Linked DNA regions of Drosophila melanogaster. The protein of the gene in region 1 interacts with the protein of each later gene in a pairwise test. Each region holds a gene or a part of one and is shown on either strand. Other genes may lie near its edges. The genes, in order: ced-6 and CG10126.

Evidence for each region.
Region 2: the proteins of ced-6 (region 1) and CG10126 interact in a two-hybrid assay, tested with the Drosophila melanogaster proteins (one large-scale study listed by BioGRID).

What each region holds. Positions count from the first base shown.
Region 1 is NT_033778.4:9,443,045-9,446,971, reverse strand, and holds the start of ced-6 (ced-6), read left to right. Parts: upstream 1-2,034; 5' UTR 2,035-2,288; coding exon 2,289-2,299; intron 2,300-3,927. Other genes in the region: Camta (Calmodulin-binding transcription activator), read right to left, coding at 461-539. UniProt on the Drosophila melanogaster protein: Plays a role in axon pruning in larval mushroom body neurons during metamorphosis. Plays a role in the infiltration of glial cell processes into mushroom body lobes and the subsequent engulfment of degenerating axon branches.
Region 2 is NT_033777.3:12,857,586-12,861,512, reverse strand, and holds the start of CG10126 (uncharacterized protein), read left to right. Parts: upstream 1-2,266; 5' UTR 2,267-2,295; coding exon 2,296-2,337; intron 2,338-3,880; exon of another isoform or gene 3,881-3,927.

The DNA.
Region 1 (3,927 bases):
GACCAACTAAGAGTGTGTTATTAACACTTCTAAAATTCGAAGCCCGCCAATCGGTTTTTACGAGCAGAGTTGCCATATTTATGTTTAAAGAATCCAGATAACAGCTGATTGCGTCCATAGGAATTTCCAATTAGACTCTCCCATCTTTAAACCAGCTTTGCAATACCGTAGATGGGCGTAATACTAAAGAGATTTCAGTATTGACAGGAAAGGCGTAATATGGCACAGCGGCCACCAATGGGTTAATGGCCCAAAGAAACCCCCAACAACGTGAAAACAAAACGCAACGCAAAGCGAAACACAACAAAACAAAAACTAATTGGAAAACCAATATCGAGGAGAGCACGACTATCAGGTCGAAAATCGGGAGATACGTGGGCTACAGCACAGATATAACTTACATATATGCATGTAGAAGAGGGATGGGTGATAGGGGTAGGGGGAGTTGGGGCTAACTTACTTTGGAGTTTCAGTGTGGAAGTTGAATTAGAAGTAGAAGAGGACGAAGCGCTGGTGGAAATATCGGGCACATTTTCCATGTGCACAGCTTTAACAACCAATTTTAGAATGCACTACTCTCTTAGCGGTTGGCACATTTATTTCGCTTTATTGAGAATGCATTTTCATTTTTGCACACCAGCTCGCACGCACACACACACAGGTGACATGGGCGCTCGCACACGCACACAGCGACACCGAAATCGCAGAACTCTGGGATATCGAAAAAAGGTAAACAAAACTTTTTCACTGCCTCCCTGTGCGCAAGCCGTGGAGTCCCTTGGCGGATTTCGATGTGCTTCAGCTGGACGATGCATAAAATGCAACAAAAATCAATAATATCACCGTTTCACACACGAAATTATTAAAAAAAAACGATAGCGAAAATATTTTGAGCTACTCCAAAACTGTGTGCATGTCAAACTGTCAAACATATGACGGCAAAGTTGCCAGATGTTGCAAAGGGCGAGCTCCCACAAAACTTAACGACAATGATTTCGAATTTTTTAAAATTGATAACTTATTATACAAGAAAGCAAGAATACTTTACAAGCCAATAACCTTGTAATCTTAACCTTACAAGTCTATGTTTGATATAAATTAGTTTAAACTATATCTAACCATCTGGCAGCACCCCAAGTGTTCCACTTATCGGCTTATCGGTCAAGATGACAACTCCAACATTCAATTATCGGAAATCGGGCACTATATTTAAAATATCGTATTGAATTTCAAATCCGGGTTTTGTTAGTCATTTTTTATACGTTTTATAATTATTTTCTTTCTGTTGAATTTTAAACTCCGATGTATCCCGCCGTGTCCGCTGTTTACCGCCGACGTCCAGCTGACGGTTCCACCCTTCTTTAACTTACATATGTATATGTACATTTCAACGAATCTAGTATACCCTTTCAGTCTACGAAAATTTTAATCTTAGTTCAATCAAATGATGTATATTAGTATATAGGTACATAGTCGATGGCCTCGGTTATATTATCTTAAATAAATAAATAATGAAGGATTGATGAATTTATAATGCATATTTGTCTTAAAAACGCTGAGATTGGTTTGCTTGGACGTGAGCAGGAAGTTCTATTCCTGCGACTTTTGTTAGAACCCAAGGAAAATATTACATACCATTCTAGTTCTTAGCTTAGTTCAATCATAAAGTTATATGTCAAAATCCTTTAAGAGGAGCATGCAAATGGGAAGTAAAATGGGCGTAAAATGTAAATGACATTTTGTGTAATTCGCATATGTACATTTGTATATTGTAAGCTATCAAAATATATGTATGTTTGTATGTATGTACAGCCCTTGAGACCGCCCATCATTGATAGGCAACGACTTTCGCCGAACTTTCCTTGGATTTTTCCAGCAGCCGACCCCGCGGTTTTCCGACCCCGCCTCGCTTCCCTCCGCTTCCCGCGACCAGCGGAAGTCTCGGGGCTCTGGCTCTATCAAAATCAACGGGCGGGGCGACTGAAGCGAACACAGAATAATTGCCATAGCTGTGTGCCAGTGCCAGTCAGTGCCAGCAGTTTGAAATCGACGACAACATCAGCAGCAACAAGCATTGCAACAACAGCGACGGCGCGGTGATAAGTCGGCTGCTGGCTGTATATTGCCGCTGGCTTGTTATTTTATTGTCGCTTTTGTTGCACATTGAAAATAATACACAAAATAATTGAATTACTCGAAATGTGTGCATGTCCGTGTGCGTGCCACTTGTGTATGTATGTGTGTGTGTCGTGCCTTTATGGGGGCGTTCAGGGCCCCGCTGATAAGCGATGATCAAGAGGTAAACGAGATAAGCGCTGCTCATTTGGAAGCACAGGCAACACGCGCTAAATGAACCCGCCAACTTGATAATCCGCGATCCCAGAAAACAAAATATTTGTCTTCTGAATTATCTTGTAATGATAATTTGACAGTTATTGTATATTAAGAAGGTCAATGTTTACTTATGGGAAGCATAATAAAGCTGAAATTAGAATTTTATGTTTATATCTATAGTTAGGATAATATGATATTCTCTCAATATTGCTACATTACATTGCTGGCTATAATTTAGGCATTGGAATTAATCCGAATCGCGTTGCTTGTTTGATTTGCAGCTTTGAGTTTCTTATTTACATATGTATATGCATTTTGTGGCACTTTGACAGTACTCCCCACTTTTGATTTCCTACAGTGTTCCCCGTGCTCGTCGACATGTGATAAGGAGCGTGAGGTGGAAACGTGACTCTCGGCGGGGCGGGCATCGGCACGTAAATTATGCTGATGACACCGGCTCCGCACCCAGGCTCTGAAAAAGCTGAAAAGCCCGAAAAACTGAGCGAGCGATTGCGCTTGAAAAATACCAGCACGTTCCTACGAGCTGCAAAGCAACAAGAATAACTGGCTTCGGCTGCCATTTTATTGCAGCGCACAAATATTTACAATACCATTTAATGACATTTCGCCTTATAAAACAATGAGTGAGAAACGTATTTTCTGGTTTCATGCATTTTATTTGGCTAATTGGGCCTTTGAACTCTATTGCTTTGATGATGAAAACGACGCCAAGATAACGTCATGTGCGACGAAACAAGCATTCGAAGTCACGCCCCCTCAGGACTCCCCTCAGCGCGCCCAACGAGCATACGCAGTCAACGCCCCTTGGCGACGATAACAATTCAAAAGAGACCCCGATCAAAATGCAATAGCGAGTTTTTAAAAGCCATTATTACTTGCAAATGGGGGGCAGATCGAACGCCCCCTCAATAAGTGCACATTGAACCATGTTGTTGGTGCCAGTTTCGCTGAGCCCTTCTAGGTTCTCCGTAGTACGAAAAATATCTATGTACTTATGTATAAAGCCAAGTCTCGTAGACATTTCTTCCAAGAAACACAATGTCGTTAAACAAACCTTTTAAAAATCCACATATGACTTCATTAGTTTGTTGCAAGCTTATGAATACATTCAATGTAGTTTTAATGAGTGGAAGCGGTTTAACTAGCAAGGTTGCAGTTTGAAAAGCCCAAAAATAGCGTTGCCCTTTGTTGCATAGGTCACCCTGTTGCTCCACGGAAAATCTCTCAATGAAAAGCCGTTCGGAGTCTTCCTTTTGGCCGGCGGAAAGGAAACTGGTAATAAAATTACAGCGGGAGAGAAAATAATAGCTGCAATATCTGCTGTCGGCGGCGCAGCTAGCGGCCTCTAACTGTAAATGGCCAATATTAAGCGGAGAGAAAAGCCGAAACAGGAGCTTAAAAGTCCGGCGAAGAGATAAAGAGAGAGAGATCGCGGTGACAGAGAGCGGGTGTGGGAAAATTGTACGTATGCCCAGATGCAGCGAAACGACAAGGAGAGTACTGTGGGCCAAACAAAGTTAAAATTCCCTGGGCCAGGAGGAATGCCTGAAATGATCTTATTAGTAAAGTTTT
Region 2 (3,927 bases), on another chromosome or scaffold:
TGGCCAAAGATCAAATCAAAAACCTGTCCGAACTTTAAATGCCCTGAAAACGTTACAAAATATTAGAAGAGGCAAAGGTATATTGCTTTTAATATGTTATGCATTTTAAATGCTTTTGTTAAAGATGATCGTTAAATTAAAGCAATGATTTAATATTAATCGTTGTAAATTTACCTACCCAACCTTATAACCATTCCTTAAAACCCCATTAACAGAGAGTAGAAACAACCCTTTTCATGAATAACTCAATTCAACGCAGTTCGGCTTATAAAATTTATGTAAATCTGTTGGAAATTGAAATATGCAGATGCTCATTTCGAAAATTAGGACAAAGGCAAAACCCGTTCGACCAACGAAATGTATTAAAATGTATTTCGCATTTTATTAAATTTGCCAACATGATAAATTCTTTGGTGCCTCGGCACTGTCAAGCTCGCTGGCGACCCAACTTAAATTAAGTAATAAGTTTTATACGCCTTGACCTCAAGGGTTCATACCACACACACACACACTACCTTTTGCGCAAAGATACAAAGCTGAATATGTATTGACACACTCCTGGCAGACTTTTGCCTTTTGTGGTTCAAAGGTCGGGAGCGTGTGAAAAGCAGACAAGCAGATTTTCTTATTAAAATTATACAGATCTTACGGTCTGAAGTGGGGAAGGCATTTAGGGTTAATTTCGGCACCAGTCCCAAACCGACATAAGGCACAAAAGTTAATGTGATTAATGTTTACTTAATGAAATGAAGTTATCAAGTTGATTTTATCAATTTACACACAGGCGTCGCCACAGACAAAGACCCAAAATTCTCGAGGGCCTGTCAAAACTGGCGCCGGTGTGATGAAGGTGCTCCTCCATCCTAAGGATTAGGTGAGAGTCGTTCTCGCCTTTGACGAAAAAGTGAAGGGGAAAGGAGCTGACTCAATGCACTGAGAATAAGCGAAAATAAGAAACTAGGTCAAAATCTTTTCATAAAAATGTATAGATATTTTTAATCTTTTCAATAAATCCATTTAAATGCAATGTAAATATTTATCAAAAAAAGGTAATTTTTAAAATGTTTAATTTCTTTCCAGCGGTAGTTTTTGGTGGTGCTAAACTATGCTGGGCTGAACCTAATATTAGTAAAATGTGGTTGACAACCGACTGGTGTAGTGTTGGCCAGGCAAATATTTGCAACAGTCTGTGGAAGATCTTGGCTTTCGGATGGATAAAGTTGGATGTGGCAATCAGTGGACGTGGCAAAGGGAATTCCGTGGCAACAAGTTCAATTAAATCCCAGTCTCTGTCGAATTTGCGTCTTTCGTTAATCAATGCGTTTAACGTTTTCAATCAAGCAACTGGCAAAAAGGCAAAGGCAGGCGAATGATTGAAGGGGTCGCCAAGTGGGGGAGGGGGCAAGTCAGTCAGTCAGAGAGACAGCTCAAATTCAGTTAAGCATTTCACTTATTTGCATATAAATTGATTAAAAAGAAAATACACGCCAGGCACTCGCACACAGTCGCAGAGTTTTGAGTGTGTCAACATGGCAAAATGGCAAAAAGGACGAAAGGGTCCTGGTCTTCTTCTCGCCGCTTTCGCTCTGTCGCCGTCTCATTCGCATGTTTGGCCATCTCCCTCTCTCAACTGGGGCTTTTCCTCTTTGGCAATTTCTGACACTTCAAATGCGTATGATTGTTTTCCTTTTGATCAGCGAATTGTGAAGTGATTCACTGATTGAGTTCAGGCTCAGATGATGCGTTGACAACATCAATGCACACACTCTCCCGTTGAAGTCCCGCCCTCTTTCCAACGTCCTTTTCACACACCCACTCTCTCAGACGGACAGTCAGTCAACTGGGGAAATGTGTGGAAAAGGTGGAAAACCTTCAGGTCATATCCACTAACCACTCGCTTGCCTTCTTTCTTGCTGAAAAGCTTTCTCAAAAGCGTGGACAGGGGAAAAGTTGTTACTCTTAGTAAAAGCTTATCGAAAATAGATTTCTGTTAAGAAAACTACTCTTTGTATTAATGAATAACTTAAAAATTATCCTTATTCTAAAGAACACAAGATAATTTATTGACACAATTTCACCATTTTAGAACACGTGTTATTATTTCTTGTGGTTTCTTTGGCTAAAACGGGACAAGTTCAAAGACACGATATGAGTCACCTTGTCCCATTCATTGCCGCAGTGTGTTGTGGTACACCCCGAGCTGTTGCCTAGTTCCACTTACTTGTGCGGCATTTATTATTTTAGTTACTAAGTTTCGCCGGCTGAATTTAGTTGAGTTTCAATTCGTAGGGCGGCATGTTCTTGAGGGAGATTCGCACGAAAGGCTGGAGCCTCAAGGTTATTATAAATAAATCAATTATCAAACAAAAACTTTGATTCTACTCTGCTAAACATGCTAAGTACCGTTATAAAGGGTTTATTTGAGTGCATATTACGCATACGCAGTGTTGGCCGCCGGCAGTGATTCATGACTGATTATTGGGGCCGCGCTAGACAAACACGCTGGTCGAAGTGAAAATATTGTGCTGTCATGTTTACCTGGCTTATTTCCCGTAATGGTCGTATGACATGGTAGTGCCTCTAGGGGCGTATGCATATTATAAGACCCTTGGAACACGTGCACCGACCAAGCCGTGTCCAATAGCAACTTAGTTCAAGGCTATTCCTTAAATTAAGTGTTGTGTGCCGCCTATTGGAAAATGAATTTTACCACAGCAAATGCAACCTTAAATGGAATGTGAAGATATACAAATAACAGCAAAAGTCATATTCGATTTACCAAGTTTATTTTAGTGTACTGCATTAGGTTTTAAATATTTACAGCAGGCCTTACAAAAAAAAAAAAAAAAAAATTAATAAAGAATTTAAAGTAAATAAAAAGAAAAAGTGAATAGTTAAAGATTGCATTCATTTACATATTTTAAATTCTGCGAATCAAAGGCCAAGTGCAGTATTAACTTAAAGAGACAACATCATTTTTATTTCCTGATCTTTATGAATGAGTTTAATCGAAACCAACGCTTGTTTAACTTTGAACTTTCTGTTGTTGGTTGCCCTGCAACTTCAATTAAATCCAACCAAATAAATGGCAAACTCGTGGGCACTTTGAATTGCATACTTTCAGGTGCTTTCGTTTTTTTATCTAGATCAATTTTACAGGCCACAATCACTGAGTTTGAATATTTGTTTTCTGTCGGCTCGTGTTGGCCGAAAGTAAACATTTGGCCAGTGAAGTCACGAAATTGGTGTGTAGGAACCCGCCACTTTTTAATTGAAATAAAATGTTTAGAAGACCGGGTATATTCCACTATCAGAGTTGTCCATTTCTATCTAACAAAGTTGTAGGCACTCGAAGTTTTTTTAGGCATAGAAAATATCTTAGCTTACAGAAATGTATTGTTATCTAATAAATTTCGCTTGTTCGTGGAGAACAGATTTATATATAAACATGGTTTGGTCATGAGAAGTTTATTGTCAAATGTTTGGGTAAAATCTAATTTATATGGGTCAATATATTTGATTAAATTCATTTTATATTATCTTATTTTCTAACAGTATGTATCTTATTTTATTTTAAAATAAAGCTGCCATCACTGGCAAATGCGACCGAGTTATTAGGCGGATGAGTCAGGTGAGCTGGCAGTCCAGTGGGTTTTCTGTCTGGGACGAACTGTCTGCTCTACATGAGCGTAAATGCTTTTTAGTAACTAGTTTTCCCCCGCCACAAAAGCCGGCAAAGCTCATATTTCATTTCCACTCGTTCCACGGTGCTCCCCATCTGGGTGAGTGCCTCTCGTTCTGTCTCGAACCTTCGTATCTGGCCATCTCGCTCTTCTCGAGCGACTGGCTGTTTATTCATTGCGACCGCTTTATTTTTCGCTTTCAGTTTGCATTTCAAAGCCGCCAAAGTAACAAGTATCTTGCAGT